Linked DNA regions of Mus musculus. The main gene of each other region encodes a partner of the protein of the gene in region 2 in a complex. Links are inferred from orthologs where the notes say so. Each region holds a gene or a part of one and is shown on either strand. Other genes may lie near its edges. The genes, in order: Nebl and Xirp2.

Region 1 (9,156 bases), about 50 Mb from region 2:
CATATTTCTATACAGAGGACTCTGATTTTGATAGTTCTGGAAGCTAAAGTAAATTAGGTATCTTATTGCTTGCCTTTTAGAATGCCAAAATTATTAAAAAGGTTAATCTTAAATGCACTTTTTTAGATGAAGGCATATGCAATCAAACCGAAAAGTGGTTAAGAATGTCTAGTCTTATAGTGCTACTACAGCATCACTCAACATTGCTGCCATGGGTTAGTGTCATCTCTGAACACTTTAGTGTGTCTAGTCTGAATTAAGATGAGGTTAGATTTAGTCAATTTTGTTCATTGATTGAATAGATTAAGGTAGCACTTGGCTTACAAAAGACAATACACATGCACACACCCATATGAATGCCATATAACACTAGGGCACGAGAACAAACCTTTTCCTTATATATAAACATTTGTAGCAAACAATAGAATTTCAGAAAGAGAGAGAGAGAGAGAGAGAGAGAGAGAGCCAGTCTAAGTTAGACTAGTTTTTACCCTTCTGTGTTACTGATTACTTTATTTACTTATTTCTTGCTAAGTGCTTTGTTTTGTTTTTCAATACAGGATTTCTCTGTATAGCCCTGGATGTCCTGGAACTCAATCTGTAAACGAGTCTGACCTCAAACTCAGAGATCTGCCTGCCTCTGCCTCCCAAGTGATATGATTAAAGGTGCTAGCCACAACTGCTAGGCATTGTGACTATTACACAGTCTATATGGAAGGAGTAATTTCACTTGGCTAATGAGACTAAGAAGGGGTAAAAATTAAAAGTTCAAGGCACATAGGGAGAATAGATTTCTGAGGAGCTGCTGCTTCCACAGTTAGTTGACTGGGAATTATATTATTTATAAAAAGTTCATAGCTCACACTAGCTTAAGCTTTTATAATACATACATACATACATACATACATACATACATACATACATACGTAATACATATAATATCTGCATATACATAGATGATAGGATGAGTGATTTCTATACAGTGACCTCATGGAGCTCTCCCCTGAGGTCTCTGACTGCTGCTCTTTTCCTGTCCTTGCTCCTGTTGTAGGTGACAGTGTGATTCAACTCCCCGCCCCTCAACTCTGGCTTGTAGGTCTTTGCTCTCCGGATCCCTTCCCTCTACTGTACCACTTTGCTTAATTCTTGCTTACCTGCTCTTTCCTGGGATGGATCCAGTTTTTCCCTTGTTTCTGTGAAGTCACCTCACTCTGCACTCACATAACTTTCCTACCTCCTTTTCCTAGTTCACACTTCCTCCCAAAAGTGCTGCATCATCTAGTTTTCCCATGTTTGTGTAACATTGTTCTAACAGCTGATCTCAAAGTGCTTCCCTCAAGGCTGCCTCTCTGTTTTTGCATAGGAGGACTTCATCCTGTTTTCGAGGATTGATGTACAACGTCCTCCAGACCCAACATGAGGAACAGTTTCTTTTACATGAGTGACTATGGAATTATTTATTTTACTGTGCTTCCATAAAACTCAGAAGTCCTGTAAACAAACCGTGTTACAAACTAACTGGCATGCCATCTATTTCTGAGTGCGTTAAAGAATTGCCAACAGTGATTAAGCCTGTTCTCTCTCTCTCTCTCTGGCTCTGAATGGGGTGTTGACAGCCAACCAAGAGCTTCTTCAATAAATCCATTTTCATGTTCAAGTTTTTCCAGATGTGAGAAATAATTAAATCTTTGCATTTATTGGAGCCATTTTTGCTTTTCAGACAGGAACTGGCAGCTGGAGTGAATTAACTCTGCCTGAGTGTGTATATAGTGTTTGCGGTATGTGTGAATGTACATACACGCATGCATATAGCACTTGTCAATAATAAAACAAAGTTAGACTTGAAAACAACCCAAAATGAGAGGCTGGTTATGACAACTCATGCTAAGCATTGTCGTAGGGATGCTTCATAACTGAGAGCCCGCTCTCCACTGAGTCCCCTGTTCTTTATTGTTCTGCTAAATGTTAAAGAAATGAAAAGATTCATAACTGTTAAGTGATATATTTTTAAAAATATGTGATTCTTATAAAATACAAAATAAGTGCTTCTCAAATATTTCAGTAAATGAGGGGACTGGTAAGATGTTGCAGTTGGTTCAAAGTGAATGGCCTTCATAGATACATAAATAGGAAGGAATGCTGAAATGAATTTAAAACTGGATGCAGAGCCAATAATCAATTGTGTCCTCTAAGATATAATTTACACTCCTAAAGATTAGATTATTATCATTTTTTCAGCATGAAGAATTACAGCATAGCTTAAAGACAGTCAAAGGACAATATAGTTACAAAGAAGCATTTGATAAGATACTCAAATTTTTTATGTCAGTGTCAAAGTCTTTCACAACTATTCTATTTTTAAATTTATTTTATTTTATTTTTTATATATACACTATCCATTCCTTCACTGCTCCCCTCCAGGTCACCCTCTCCCACAGCCTTTCCTCCTTCCCCCTTCCTCTCCCATTCTCCTCTGAGCAGGGGCAACCCTTGGGTATCCCCCTACCCCAGCACATCAAATCTCTGCAAGGCTAGGTGCTTCCTCTCCCACTGAGGACAAACAAGGTAGCCCAGCTAGAACATATCCCACATACATGAAACAGCTTTTGGAATAGTCCCTTCTCTACTTGTTGAGGACCCACATGAAGACCAAACTGCTTATATGTGATATATGTGCGAAGAGGCCTAGGTCCAGCCTGTGTATGCTCTTTGGTTGGTAGTTCAGTCTAGACCCTGAGAGCCCCAAGGGTCCAGGTTGGTTGATTCTGTTGGTCTTCCTGTGGAGTTCTCATCCCCTTTGGGGCCCACAATCCTTCCTCCTATTCTTCTATAAAAGTCCACAAGCTCCATTCACTGTTTGGCTATTGGTGTCTGTATCTGAGTTAGCTCCTGTGTGGAGCCTCTCAGAGGACAGCATTTTTCTGTCTGAAAGCATAACAGAGTATCATTAATAGTGTCAGGGATTGGTCACAACCATTCTTAGTACATTCCACATAAAACTTTAGGAAAGGGATACATGCATGCATACATACATACATACATACATACATACGTGTTTGTACACACACACATTATACATACACATACACATACATATACATCTTCCTTTTTGTGTAGTAATCAAGATGTTTGATCCTGCCTGGCTCTCTGGCTCTGGTTAAAGGGTATATTCAGATAGTTAAAGCCATTGACTTCTTTTGTATGACTGTGAGGGCCCAATAAGAAAATGGGGTTTAAAGGCTTATATACCCCTTCATATTATATCTTCATATGGGAGAAAGTATTGAGTCAAGATGGAGGCAATTTTAGGGAAGAATAAATGATTTACTGGGGGAGGGGGTGGTGAGATATAGACTCAGAAAGACAACAGACTGAGACAAAGTTTGTTTCGGCTTTGGGTGTTTGGTTTCCTCTTCTTGGTTGATGAAATAACATGGTAGAAGCCCACTATGTTCGCTTTTGGTAGAAGCAGCCTTTGTGTAAATAAAGAATTTTCAAAGAAGAGCTCTTTCCAGATTCTGCTGATTCCCCAGTGTCTGTAATCTAAAGCATCCCATGGTCTGAGGCATCATATTTTCTGGTATCTCCCATCTCAGCTCAGAACTCAATTGTAATTTATGATAATACAACATTAAACTTACACTAGGATTTACGAAAAAGGATAGGTATTTTTGAAACGTAATAACTGCCCACTAAGGACCCTTTTCTAACAAATTCCCCAAGTCAGAGTTTATACCTATTGACAGAAAAGCTTGACTGATAAAATCAGGGCTTAAAAAATATAGAGGAAATTTGACATGACTTTTATACTATCTTCTTATGCAAATGAAAAGAAGACACACTAAATCAAAAGTAATGGTGTATGTGGCTTGCCAGAAAGTCCATTAAAGAGTTCACTCAGCAAGTTTTGAGGTGATTTTTTTCCTGCCAGGGTATGTGCTACTTACTACTGGATCTCCTTATCCTGGTGTAGAACCAGCATAACAACATCAGTGTGTACTAAGCAGGCATCAGTGTGTACTAAGCAGTTCCTATCACACTGTTTTGCAAAGGAAGCAAATAGTTCACTGTTCTTAGCCTTCTGTTTGTCCTCTCTGAAGGAAAGCATTCTAAGTGAGGGTTTGTGATGGTTGTCAGCACTGGGGCCCAACAGAAGGCCTTGCATAGAAGCAAGCAAACTTGGTAATAAGCCAGCTGTGTTCCTAGCCATCTTTTTATGTTTATTTAAGACATGGTCTTGCTAAGTTGTCCAGGTTGGGATGAAGCTCTCTCTGTAGCTTGGGCTGGGCTTGAAGTTGTGATTGCTTTGCTCCCATCTCCTAAATTGGCTGGAAATGCAAGCTTTAAAGATTTTAGTAATGTGACTTTAAAATTCTGATTCTGACCTCTTAAAAGAAAAAATATGTTCATATTATGTGTGGTGTTTGGTGTGTCTTTGAAACTTTTGTGCATTAAAGGTTAACTGATTATTTTATTGCAGCCCAGCGAAGAACCATTAAGAACTCACAGCAAGATTGAAGATGAGAAGAAATCCTGCTTAAGCCTCAGGCACGCCATTCACTATGGAAACAGACATCACCCAAAGCAACATGAGCATTGTCATCTGAAGTGGAAGCTAAGAGGTTCATCTTGGACAGCGTTGGGATATTTTTTCCTATGTACTTCTGAAGGTTTGCAAGAAAAGTTTTTAGAAATTATTCCTCCGTAGAAAGCATTTCCTTCCTGAAGGTAGCACAGAGGAGCCTCTACAGAAGCAAAAGACAGCCTTAGGGAGAGGACATGAGGGAAACTTATAGATTGCAAATTCTCCTTACAGGACAAGTTTATAACAAACGAAAAGAATTCCAGTAGACGTGAGGGACGACATGGCTGTTATCTCAAAGTTTCCCAATTTAGCATTCCGGGGACAGTTCCTTTCTGGCATTTTGCTGGTTAAGTGGGGTCTGTGATACCCTTAATTTGACCTCTATTCAAAACTGTTTAATGAGAAAGCCAGCAAATCATGAAGAAGTTAGTCAGACGTAACAATGTTTTCCTAAGTCACATTTCACAGAGGGCACTGGATGCCATTAAGAGACAATAGTAGGCAGAATAGATGTGGAAACAGGAGGCAGACAGGATTCTTCTTTTAGAAGGGAAAGATTTAGTAAGTTGGGTAGGGCTTTTGATTGACGGTCATCACAGGTCTCTGCATGTGTCACTGTGGTGTGTAACACTCATCCTGACAACTATAGAAATTTCTTTATAGGTTTCTTGAAGAGATTTGTTTTAGGTCATTGTTTTTTGCCTTATCAACCTTTTTTTGTGGTACAGTTTTGCCTTTTGGAAAAGCATGTGAGAAACAGTATGGTTTTTGATGGATGTTCAGAATTCGAATGACTTATTAGATAAGGCTGGGGCATTTTTCTTTTAAAAACTGATAAGGACGTGTACAGAGATAGATATTCAATAGTTAAGACTATATAAAATGTAACATGAAACTAGCTCCACAACTTCAGAATCACTATTCTACCTTCATAGATGTTCAATGGGATATATAGACATTAGATCTTCTTAACTTCAGGGTGTTTTTTTAAATTAAAAATATTTTACAAGTTATTAAAAATAAATTGAAAACAAGATGATATCAAAATATATTTGGCTATGTAGGAATGAAGTATTATTTTGGATAAAGCTCTATTTTATGTAATTAATTTAATTAGTCACCATGGGGTGTTTTTCTAACACTGATCACTGATATGCAATACTTTTATAAAAAGCAATTTTACCTTAAAATTTAAACAGCCAAATTAACACATCAGGAATGAGAGATTCTTAGAATTGCTTAAATCGACAATAAAGGATTTATTTAGAAGAGTTTTCTTAATTATTGAACTAGTAAGATAGTCTACACAACAAATATGGTAATGTAATTTCTTAGTTTTCCAAGTGTGGGATACAGTGAGACTATAAAAGATACTAGTGAGTTAGTGAAAATTCACACAATGACAAAAATGCAGAGCATAATTATTTCCAATGCAGCGATGTTTCCTGAAGTCTTAAATAATATATCAACATATATTAACTTCAACTTCTCATGTTTAATGATGTTTACGATTAATATGGTACAGTATTCCCTAATTTGAGATTAGCAGTTGTAATTAACTCAGAATAGATTCTTTGAAGTGGTTCAAAGGGCTTTTTGTAATAAATTATTAGCCTCTAATCAGCTAATATGAAGTGAGTAGTTTTGGGGGATGTGAGAAGTACACTAAAACCTCATAAAACATTTAATTTAAGTTAATGAAATAAATTTGTATGGTACGGAGTCTCTATATGGAAACAGAATGACTGACATTCCAGAGGAGGCTTTATTTAGACCAAGTTGAGATATCTTTGGGATAAAGGCTTTAGGCCGGTGCTATCTTAGGTGTTATAGCTGAGTAGATTTCTAGAATTGTCAAGTCCCTTTAAAACAATTTTTAAAATTAATTGATTAATTGATTTAAAATTCATTAGTAGAAGATAAAAAAAAACCATTTTGTCTTGGGTTTCCTATGCTATCCTAAGAATGTTGATTTTAAGTTTGTAAAGTTGAGCTTTGACTTAGGAGAGAGTTTTCACTTGTGAGGCTGGGCCTGGCAGACCCTGAGGCTCCTGGGTGTTCACTGACACACCATTGAGATAAGGAGTGACATGAGCCAGGGATAAAGTCTGGCAAGCCTTTGCTTCCAGTGCCCCAGAGACTTGGTAGCTCACGGGTGTGGTAGTTCCTGAGAAGACACAGTTTGAAAGCATTAATATCTTCATAGGGTAAAGATGAAGGTACCTGTATCCGGGGATGTAAAAGAGGAAACTGAGGAGGAAAATGTGGAGCAGGAAGAAAACCAGGAAGCCAAGGTGAGCAAGAAAGAACTCACTTAAGCACAGAACTCTGTCCTTTAACAGATAAGGGAAAATCAGACCTTCTCCCTCCCTCTTTCTTTTTAATTTTCACATAGGTGTCTCTGAAACCTGTTATTGAAGACCTCAGCATGGAACTGGCCAGAAAGTGCACCGAGCTCATTAGTGACGTAAGTGGCTTTAAAGACTTTTATCTTATTTGCTTCCTTTACGTGGAATGGCTGTGTTGTAGAGTCATGGGGCTGGAGAGAAAACTCCCGAGGTTACCAGTTAGAGCACTGTCATTTTCTAGATCATAGAACTAAGTCCAGACATGTTAGGTGATTTCACCAAGGTCATATAGACAGTGATTGTCTAATGGAATAATTGTCCTCATTCCTAATCCAGATTCTGTCTCTTCCGGGTTGTGTAGTCATACTATGTTTTATGGTGTTGTGTTATCAAGCTCATGTTTGAGAACCCCCAAGACTTTAAAATTAGCAGAACGATATCATTTGTCTTGGAAGGATCTCTAAGTGAATGACTTTCAATATGGAAGGCCTTTATCTAAATGAATAGTACTTAACATTCTGAAGGCCATTTGAAGTTTCTGTCAAAGTCAATACTTTTCCATTTGCTTTTAATTGCATCTAACATTTCTTTGCAATATAGTGTGTGTATGTGTGTGTATGTGTGTGTGTGTGTATGTGTGTGTGTATGTGTTAATGGAATTGTACACTGCAAACACTGGTTCACATGATAATATCATTAAAAAAATTTTGTTTTTAGGAACTAAAGCTAGTTTATATGCTATTCCAAATGAAATCCTAGAGTTATTTAATGTAAACACATCCACATACATGATAAATTTATAAACTAGAATTCTAAATTTATAAGCAAGACTATTTCTTACTTGGTATGAGAACCCACCAAATACTCATAAACAATGTAAGAGAACTACTGGCTTAAAAAACATGGAGCTCTATGAAATGAAGTGTGTTTGTATCTGAATTCAGGGAGCTGAGCACAAAACTGGCTGCAACTGTTCTTTGTAATTTGCAAGTTTGTTTCCTAGGCAGTAGCGTAATACTTTGGTCAGTTCTCCAAGGCCAACTTGCTAGAGTCAACTCGACAATAACCTTGGAAATATTATTGATGCTGGTGGATTTAGCTCTTCAAGTATAATGATTATAGTTAAGATGAGATGTACATAAAAAATGCTGCAGTTACTCTTCAAAACACTGTGGTGACTGATAAGGGATAGCTACCCTAAGTTACTCTATCGGTAACTTTTTTATCTTTTGACCAACTTTGTAGTAGATAAAAATGGGCATACTTCTTCCCAAATTCTTGGCATAACATGTTACATAATTCAACTTTGAATTATTTATTTATTTGTGTTATTGCTTAGTTATAACCAGAAGTTGCTTAGCATGTGAAATATGTTTTGTAAACTGCAATAATAAGACATTGGCTGTGATAATTATGATCTTGACACCAGTGGCAGTTAAGATGTATTGAGCACCACATGCCAGGTGTTGTTGATTGTCAGGGTGGGACTCTTATTCATCGCCCTCCTCCCCCCGCCCCACGTCCGCCATTTCACTTTACTCCACTGTTGCTTCTCAGAGTGAATACCCATGCAAAGCTTGTTACTCCCTCACACATCTACTTAGTGACAGCCATGTCACCATTTAGAGGCAGCTTGAAGGTGCTGCCTCTTCCCACTCTGGTATGTTTTCACTGAAGTGTAGTTATTGCTGGGCTGCAGCTCTAATTCGGCAGGTGATATATTGGAGTGTTTGGGGGAGGATTATTATTGGTGACTTAGGAACCTTCTTGTAGGGAGGCACAATGGCTTTTTATACTCGGTGACTGCCAGCACCACACATTCTCTCTTCTTTAGGTGAGATCAAGCACATGGGAGAGATCTCTGTTTATTGTAGATTTATGTTTCATGGTGGAATGTCTGGACTACTTAAGTATTTAGAATATGATTATTGTCCCTTAATTCATGACTGGATATGTGCTCATATTTCACTTCATCGTAGGCTTCCGTACTGATAAGACACTCGTTTAGCTGTTAGAATTTTTACATGGATCAATAAAGATTCTGAAAAAATACACTAATTTCTAAAATAAAAATTATATGAAGGGTTTACACCATCATCTTAATACCAAATATTAGGGCTGACATTACAGTTGAGGAGCGGAATGTGTGTCTAGCATGTACAAGGTTCTCAACTGCAAACCAAATAAGCTAACAACCAAATATTGAATAAATTAAATGTTTAT
Region 2 (9,072 bases):
ATCGAGAATTGACAAATGGGACCTAATGAAACTCCAAAGTTTCTGCAAGGCAAAAGACACTGTCTATAAGACAAAAAGACCACCAACAGACTGGGAAAGGATCTTTACCTATCCTAAATCAGATAGGGGACTAATATCCAACATATATAAAGAACTCAAGAAGGTGGACCTCAGAAAATCAAATAACCCCCTTAAAAAATGGGGCTCAGAACTGAACAAAGAATTCTCACCTGAGGAATACCGAATGGCAGAGAAGCACCTGAAAAAATGTTCAACATCCTTAATCATCAGGGAAATGCAAATCAAAACAACCCTGAGATTCCACCTCACACCAGTGAGAATGGCTAAGATCAAAAATTCAGGTGACAGCAGATGCTGGCGAGGATGTGGAGAAAGAGGAACACTCCTCCATTGTTGGTGGGATTGCAGGCTTGTACAACCACTCTGGAAATCAGTCTGGCGGTTCCTCAGAAAATTGGACATAGTACTACCGGAGGATCCAGCAATACCTCTCCTGGGCATATATCCAGAAGAAGCCCCAACTGGTAAGAAGGACACATGCTCCACTATGTTCATAGCAGCCTTATTTATAATAGCCAGAAACTGGAAAGAACCCAGATGCCCCTCAACAGAGGAATGGATACAGAAAATGTGGTACATCTACACAATGGAGTACTACTCAGCTATTAAAAAGAATGAATTTATGAAATTCCTAGCCAAATGGATGGACCTGGAGAGCATCATCCTGAGTGAGGTAACACAATCACAAAGGAACTCACACAATATGTACTCACTGATAAGTGGATACTAGCCCAAAACCTAGGATACCCACAATATAAGATACAATTTCCTAAACACATGAAACTCAAGAAAAATGAAGACTGAAGTGTGGACACTATGCCCCTCCTTAGAAGTGGGAACAAAACACCCATGGAAGGAGTTACAGAAACAAAGTTTGGAGCTGAGATGAAAGGATGGACCATGTAGAGACTGCCATATCCAGGGATCCACCCCATAATCAGCATCCAAACGCTGACACCATTGCATATACTAGCAAGATTTTATCGAAAGGACCCAGATGTAGCTGTCTCTTGTGAGACTATGCCGGGGCCTAGCAAACACAGAAGTGGATGCTCACAGTCAGCTAATGGATGGATCACAGGGCTCCCAATGGAGGAGCTAGAGAAAGTATCCAAGGAGCTAAAGGGATCTGCAACCCTATAGGTGGAACAACATTATGAACTAACCAGTACCCCTGAGCTCTTGACTCTAGCTGCATATGTATCAAAAGATGGCCTAGTCGGCCATCACTGGAAAGAGAGGCCCATTGGACACGCAGACTTTGTGTGCCCCGGTACAGGGGAACGCCAGGGCCAAAGGGGGGGAGTGGGTGGGTAGGGGAGTGGGGGTGGGTGGGTAAGGGGGACTTTTGGTATAGCATTGGAAATGTAAATGAGCTAAATACCTAATAAAAAATGGAAAAAAAAAAAAAAAAAAAAGAAACACAGTATGAAAAGAAACAAAAGTGAGTCTGTCTATCTATCTATCTATCTATCCATCTCTCTCTATCTCTATCTGTTATCTATCAATGAAATATATTCCATATCCCCATATATATTTAATATATGATTTATTGAAAGCATAACATATTTAATGTTTATGTTAAATTTCAATAATCATGCTAATATATAGTTTTATATTTTAATATAATAATAATAATAATAATAATAATAATAATAATAATAGCCTGATTCCAAATCCCAAGTGGTTACCTTTTAGAAGCCCATTCTAGCTATTTAGTACTCCAGCCTTTCAGAATAAATAGATACTTCTTTTTGTGGCCTGTCCTATCTCAAAACTTCCTCCAATAACTAATACCAGTGTAGGCTGAGTAGAAATACACATAAATTCCCTTTTTCCATATTTTGCTTGAAAGTCTTTAGCTTCCACAGACTTTCTACCTACCCTTGAAGCTGGTGGATATAGAATTTGTCCCTGAGCATGGGCCTTCTCAGACTAACACTATTCCCATTTCAATAAACCTGTTTGCTCCAGAGATCCCTTACTTTCAGGAGTGGCCTGGGTAAGGAACTATGACCCCACCTTTCCCCCAGTGCTTTGCCATGGACATCTCTATATTAGAGTAATTGTATCCTTCACAACATAACTATGATGGTAAGCAGAGTGTTTTGAGGCATTTTCATTAATTATCAGACGGGAGGAAGGTCTAGTTTTGTTAGGAGAAAGGGCCAGAAGGCTGGGCTCTCAATTCCAGCTGCTATCCTAGGCAGATTACTCTGATCCAGTCTGTATATTCTGGCGAACTTGCTAAAGTGAAGCAGTAGTGCCAGAATTGGATCGAGTCTGTGGGCTGCTCAGTGGAGTTAGGGAAATAGAAGAACTGTCTGTAATTGGAAAGGTTGCAATGTATGTTCTGTAAGTAGTATCAGGAAATGGAAATGGAAACACCCAATGCAACCATATATGGACATGTATTCACGTGGAATAGATCAGTGTTCTAGACAAGGCTGCCTTGGATCTGAAAAGGGTGAAGCTTGTCAACACTCAGCACAGGATGAGTGCATCAGTTGAATGAACCAATTTCTTTTAAGGAAATGAGAAAAAAAAAAGCAAATTACAACTTAATTAAGTTTCAAAGGGTAACTTGGATATTTTCAAAAGTCTGGATGAGATGCAAATAAAAAAAGGACATGGTAATTATATTAAACCCTATCTCACACAGATTGTTAATCAAAAAGTCTTAGAACTATATTGCCATTTTCTTATTGTCAACCCTGCCTTGTAAATTATAGACTCCCTGCTATCAAACAGACCTTATCAGTGGACTCCTTTAATACATAAACTGATGAGTCTGTGTGTGTGTGTGTGTGTGTGTGTGTGTGTGTGTGTGAGAGAGAGAGAGAGAGAGAGAGAGAGAGAGAGAGAGAGAGAGAGAGAGAGAGAGGGAGAGAGAGAGAGAGAGAGAGCACCCAAGTGGGAGGGAGGAGAACAACAAACTCAAACTTGAAATTCTTCCATTGAGCTTAACAGTTTTCAACTAGGTAAAAAACAAAGTTGCTACATCGAAGTTTTTAATTTTTTTCAAATTTGGCAAATCCAAAGTAAGAGTTGGAAATCTGGAATGGAATAAACAGCAGGGACAGAACTTTTGTAAATAGCAGCGAATTATCTCTGAAGTTGGACTTTCTCTGAAAAAGCAGACCTGCATGAAGGCAGCTTTCCTGTTCTCTGTAATCACAGGAGACAGCAGGCACCTGTGCTGACATTTTTTCGGGGACCTTTTCTGAAGCTATGGCTCCCGTGATCATTAGAGAATGTCGACTTTCGTTTTTCAGAAACTTGAGGAAGCTACACCTAAAAGACGCCCGCCCACTCCTGGATGAAAGAAACCCCGTTCCAACTAAAAGCCAGACTGTGTCTTCCCTCCAGGCAGCGGGCAGTTTGCCACATTGCAGCCATGCGAAGCTCTGAGTGATATTTAAAAACGGATCTAGTTCTTAGCTGATGCGTGGATACCAAGAAGGGAAAATACTCAAATATCAAGCGAAGAAGCAGAGAGATATTTAAACATACAATGCAGAATTTCTGATTTCTGCCCCAACATTTTCCATTCCCTTTTATATTGTCTAAAACTATCAACAGGTATCCTTTCATTAAAAAATAATCCATAACTCTGAATACAGTTGAAGTAAATATTTAACTTGTCTTTTGACACCTTAACACAAAATTTTAAAATGTGTCAAACAACCAACAGCTCCGTCAGTGACCAAATTGAGCTCTGGTAAAAATAAAATATCTTTCAGTTCAACACCAGCTGGCTAAATTTAAACCCAGCATTATGCAACCTTAGAGAGTCCTTGCTTTCCCACCATGTCTTAGGAGAATCTCTTAGACTGTCACTCCCAAATCACTTCAGTCTCTTAGCATCCAAACACAGCACAACAGGACCAAATTAACATGTTCATGGGCAATTGAAGACAGAAAAAAAAAATACATTTGAAAGTGTATATAGGGCATGATACCCTCAAAGCACTATCTCAGTATACTCTGAGTTTGCAGTTACCGTAATTAGGGCTGGCAGATCCAACTGGAAGTGCTTTCCTTAATTCTGAAAAACATGGAAGAACCTGATTCTTTAATCCTTAACTTCAGTAAGACTCCCAGAGGACATAAGCCCGCAGCTAGAGCAAGATCTACAAAAATCAAACTATGACTGAGAAGCAATAACTTTCCTGCATTTCTCAGAGTGTGCTGAAACATTTGAAAACGTTTCAGGCTCCCCTTTTTCCTCATCAAGCTTCATGAAATATCATTCGCATTTCTTAATCTGTATATTTTTCTCTCTGCGCACATGAGAGACAAAGCATTTTTCAGTTTCCCTTCTGGCTGTAAATTGTAGGATAACTTTTAAGTTGTGACTGGTTATTAAGCTCATTATTCTTTAAGATTAAACATTAAAATAATTTATTGGAGAGAGATTAACACATGAGGTTCTAAATTTCATATCCAACAGTGCTAAGCACAATTCTAAGAACAAATCCAACTTGATCAATTTTCTTTTATATAATGACATTTGACTTTCAGTCTTCACTGCTCTTTCAGTAAGAGTCGAACATTTTATAACCTTGGCACACACGGGACTCTATTACACATACCTTTGTACCAGAATTGACCCTAGCTCCGTAGAAATGCTCTATGGATTTGCAACTCTTCACTTGAAAGGCTCCTCCCTGTTTGACACACAGCAAATTTCCCAGTCCCCTGAAAGCAACCAGCAGAGTGGAGACCAGCTCCACCGAAGAGTCTATGAGGCAAGCAGGCAGGGCTGCTGAATTTATTTTAGCCCTGTGTCCAAAGGATGCAACCTAGCACCTATTTTTAGGAACTGAGCTCTGTCTAGGTGGGGCTTGAGTCAACCACTCCTTTCAGAAGTGAGTCTCTGAGGTCATACTGCTTAGTACTCTCCTGAGAAATGTATGCATGGCTCTGACACATGTGCAGTCACTCAAACTCCCTTCCATAGCCACTATCACACCAAAGTCTGAACTTCTCAACATATTCTGAGAAATAAATAATGAATAAAGTGGGGTTATTAAAGGACTTCAATTGCTTGCTTTTAAAAGATACCTTTACTCACTTAAGAGTAAAGGATTTGAAAACAAAGCACACAAAAAGTTGATCTTATTTATTCTGTTTGGGATAGTGATAATTAACTTGAAATCTTCAGAAGGGAACTTTGATTCTTGTTTTCTTTTCTTTTCTATAGGAAGTAGGTGTTTCCTATGTGCAATGGGCTGGATCCTCCTATCTCAGATTCTACAGACTGAAATATTGGAGGATCACCCTGGGATCATCATAGATTTTTTTTTAATTTACAATTTTCATATTCTCGGTGTGTAAAGCAATGTTTGCTTTTCAAGTCTTCCCTCATAAAGCACTCATACTGTAGTGTTTAGTAGGAAAGGGCAAGATAGATCAGGCAGGGAAAGATTCATCTTATGTGCTCTTGAGAGAATTCTATTACATACCATTGCCACTGTACTTTCTCAGTAGACTCTGCTAGCCCAAATGGAGACGGAAGTTAGCTGATATTACCCTTCAGCTTCATAATGCCACATTCTTTAGAATGCGTTAGAATGAAGAATCCTGCTCACCAACCTTTCAACTCTTCTATAACTTCCCAGAGTTGTGCCCTGTGTGTCCTATGCAGCTGGACTCACAAAAAACCAAAACAAACAAAGGAAATTGTCTGCAACTTGAAGAAAGCATCTTACTTTTACACTGCTAATTGCAAAACATAACTGAGCTTACAATTGACCATACTATGATCAATGAATATAAGCATATATGTTTTTTTTTTTCATCTACAGGTTTTTATTAAAAGTAGTGCAACTAGTGATACTGCAGCTTCTTATCTCTACAAAAATCTTTACTCAATGGTCCTGAGTATTCCACAAGATTTTCCAGTGTAAACTATCTCAAGATTTGTTGACCAGTATGTATGGTCATTGCTAGGCATGTGGTCACCAGAAATTTAAATTATTAATATTTAATGAAATTTTAATTTTCAGTTCCACACTTGTACTAACTATATCTCAAGTACCCAGTCTGCAACTGTGACGTGTGTTTCTTCATTGAGAATGCTCTTATCACTTGGAAGATCCCCTCACCATTGCTCATGTCACGTTGGATCTCAGCACAGGTTTACACAAACAGTGCTCTGTTACCTGGACAAGTTGAACATTCATATACATTCTAATACATTCATCTTTGATTAAATTAGGGTACGTTCCAGAGTCTTTATACGGTTGTTACCAAGATTAAATGAGAAAATAAATTAATTGTGCTTATAATATTACTACTCCAACATAATATTTCTCAGAAAATCATGTTAATGCACCATGTTCATAAGAGACAGTATATCGAAAATCATAAGTTATGAGACTGATCTTAATATATAAATGCGGTCAACTTTATTATTTTTATTATTTTATTTGGATATTAATGATACTGTTTGCAATAAGGTAAATTGCTCAAATATCTGATGTTAGGATTTGTCATCTCTCTTGCTCAAATGAACTCTTTTTTATTTTAGTGACTAGTTTCTTGATTTAATTCCTCTGGTTTCATTCACAATGATCTCCTCTCTATTTTATTTTTGACTTTTCAGGGAAAATGTTTCTGATTTAAATACTTATACAACCTATGAAAAAAACAATGATTAAAATAAACATACTTAGCTTGATTTAAATCCTCTATAATGCATATATGTATTGAGCTATTGCACAATATCCACTCATATGTAGAACTTTCATTATTATATACATCGGTTAAAACAATTGAATTAAAAAAATTCAAAACGAACCAAGGAAATTAACATTCATCACCTGAGGTGGTTATAGATGTCAGAGAAGCATGTGGACGAGACTTCACACCATTTACCATCAGAAAAACGCAAGTAACAGGAGTGAATTATGACTGCATAACTGTTAAAATGACTGATATATACAGTACATGAAAATACCAAATGTCTACAAAGATTCAGCGCACTGGGACCCTTTACCCACTCCTGATCCAATGAGAGAGGACGATCCTTGGTTGTTTATAGGCCACATGTATTCTTACTTATAGCCCAGCTTAAAGTTAAAATGACACGTCTACCCAGAAGTCTGCAAGGAGATGTAGACAAAAAAGGTATTTACCAAAATTTGGAATTAATTTATCTATCCTTCACTGATCAATACAATCTTGCACAGTTAGAAATTAGAATGCTATTCAGTGCTACAGAAAGACATCGAGGAAAATCAAATAGTAAATCTACTGCAAAAATCTGCATACTATATGGATTCAATGTTAGTGCATTCTAGAAAAGGCAAAAGTATGAAAAAATAAAAGTTTTTAAGGGTTAATGGAGGGAGACTAGGCTGAAATAGAAGCTCTTTCTGAATGACACTGTACTAGGGTTGTGTGTTATTATACACTTGTCAATTCCAATGAATGTACAATTTGAATATTAATGTATAGACCTATGACATCTAAGTGTGTCAGTGTGAATTCATCAAAATCACAAGAAAGATTCAACTCTGCTTAAGGACAGTGATGATATGGCCTATGTAGGAGGAGGTGGATGGAAAACTTCATCCATTCTCTTCAGTTTTTTATGAATCTAAAATCTTTCTTAAAAGTACTGTACAAGAAATTTAATATATGTTCTTATTTCTGTTATTTTTTCCCTTAAAAATAACATCTGGACTATATAAAAGGATTATGTTATAGATTTGATTTGTGTTATTTACATTTATTTCATCTTGCTCTCAAATCAAGCAATTGACACTATTATTTCTAATAAAACTGAAGATTAGGAAAATTAAGTAACTCTTTCAAAGATAAAGTTAATAATAAGCGAAAAACAACGGGCATTGATCTTAATTCTGCTGACTCCTTAGTTACATGTTTTCAGAGACATTATTTATACTGACTATAATTTAAAAGTTCCCAAAAGCTCGGAATACCCAAGATACAATTCACAGACCACATGAAGCTCAAGAAGAAGGAAGATCAAAGTATGGATGCTTCAGTCTTTCTTAGAAGGAGGAACAAAATACTCAAGGGAGGAAATACAGAGACAAAGTGTGGAGTAGAGACTGAAGGAAAGGCCATCCAGAGCCTGCCCCACCTGGGGATCCATTCCATATACAGACACCAAACCCAGGCACTATTGTGGATGCCAAGAATTGCTTGCTGTCAGGAGCCTGTGTCCTAAGAGGCTCTGTCAGAGCTTGACAAAGACAGATGCAGATGCTCTTAGCCAACCATTGGACTGAGCATAGGGTGGCCAATGGAGCAGTTAGAGAAAGGACTGAAAGAACTGAAGGGGTTTGCAACTCCATAGGAAGAACAATATCAACCAACCAGACCTCGCCCCAGAGCTCCCAGGGACTAAACAACCAACCAGAGAGTACACATGGAGAGACCCATGGCTCCAGCCACATATGTAGCACAGGATGACCTTGTTGAGGAATGCCAGAGTTGGGAGGCAGAAGTGAGTGAGTGGGTGGGTGGAGGAACACCCTCATAAAAGCAGGGGGAGAGATGGGGTAGGAAGATTCTGGGAGGGGGGAAAGTTGGGAAAGAGGATAACATTTGAAATGTAAATTTAGAAAATCAAATAAAAAAGTTCCAAACATTATTATGTGTCATGGTAGTAAGCTTTGTGAGGAACAAAATCTTCATTATATTAATAGAAAATGAGGCAAAGGCTTAGTGTATGCCAGCAATTGCTATGCTCTCTGTGCAGGACAGCAGGTAAGCTACTTGGTCCTTATACAGACAGGAAGTGCCTGTTTTATAGTTGGGTCAACTATATTTCAGTTACTATAACTGAAAACTCTGGACCAAAGGGGTCCATCTAACACTTTTATAATTAAAATACATAATTTATTACTCAGCATATATAACATACTTGAATGCTAGTTGCAACAAAGCAATCTGCTTTGAACACCATAGGAGCCATATTGACCTATTCGGGCATTTTTTGAACAGGAAAAAAAG

What was found.
Region 1: the proteins of Xirp2 (region 2) and Nebl are in contact, whole or in part, in a crystal structure (PDB 4F14), measured with the Homo sapiens proteins. The link is inferred for Mus musculus from reciprocal best matches to the Homo sapiens genes XIRP2 and NEBL. Residues at the interface, in NP_689594.4 of Homo sapiens: Pro2420, Pro2421, Pro2422, Thr2423, Leu2424, Pro2425, Lys2426, Pro2427; in NP_006384.1 of Homo sapiens: Tyr963, Asp964, Tyr965, Asp969, Asp971, Glu972, Ile987, Asp988, Asp989, Gly990, Trp991, Met1004, Pro1006, Asn1008, Tyr1009.

What each region holds. Positions count from the first base shown.
Region 1 is NC_000068.7:17,458,181-17,467,336, reverse strand, and holds the start of Nebl (nebulette), read left to right. Parts: upstream 1-4,480; 5' UTR 4,481-4,670; intron 4,671-6,791; 5' UTR 6,792-6,798; coding exon 6,799-6,879; intron 6,880-6,980; coding exon 6,981-7,052; intron 7,053-9,156. UniProt on the Homo sapiens protein: Binds to actin and plays an important role in the assembly of the Z-disk. May functionally link sarcomeric actin to the desmin intermediate filaments in the heart muscle sarcomeres.
Region 2 is NC_000068.7:67,441,759-67,450,830, reverse strand, and holds the start of Xirp2 (xin actin-binding repeat-containing protein 2), read right to left. Parts: upstream 4,830-9,072; 5' UTR 4,677-4,829; intron 1-4,676.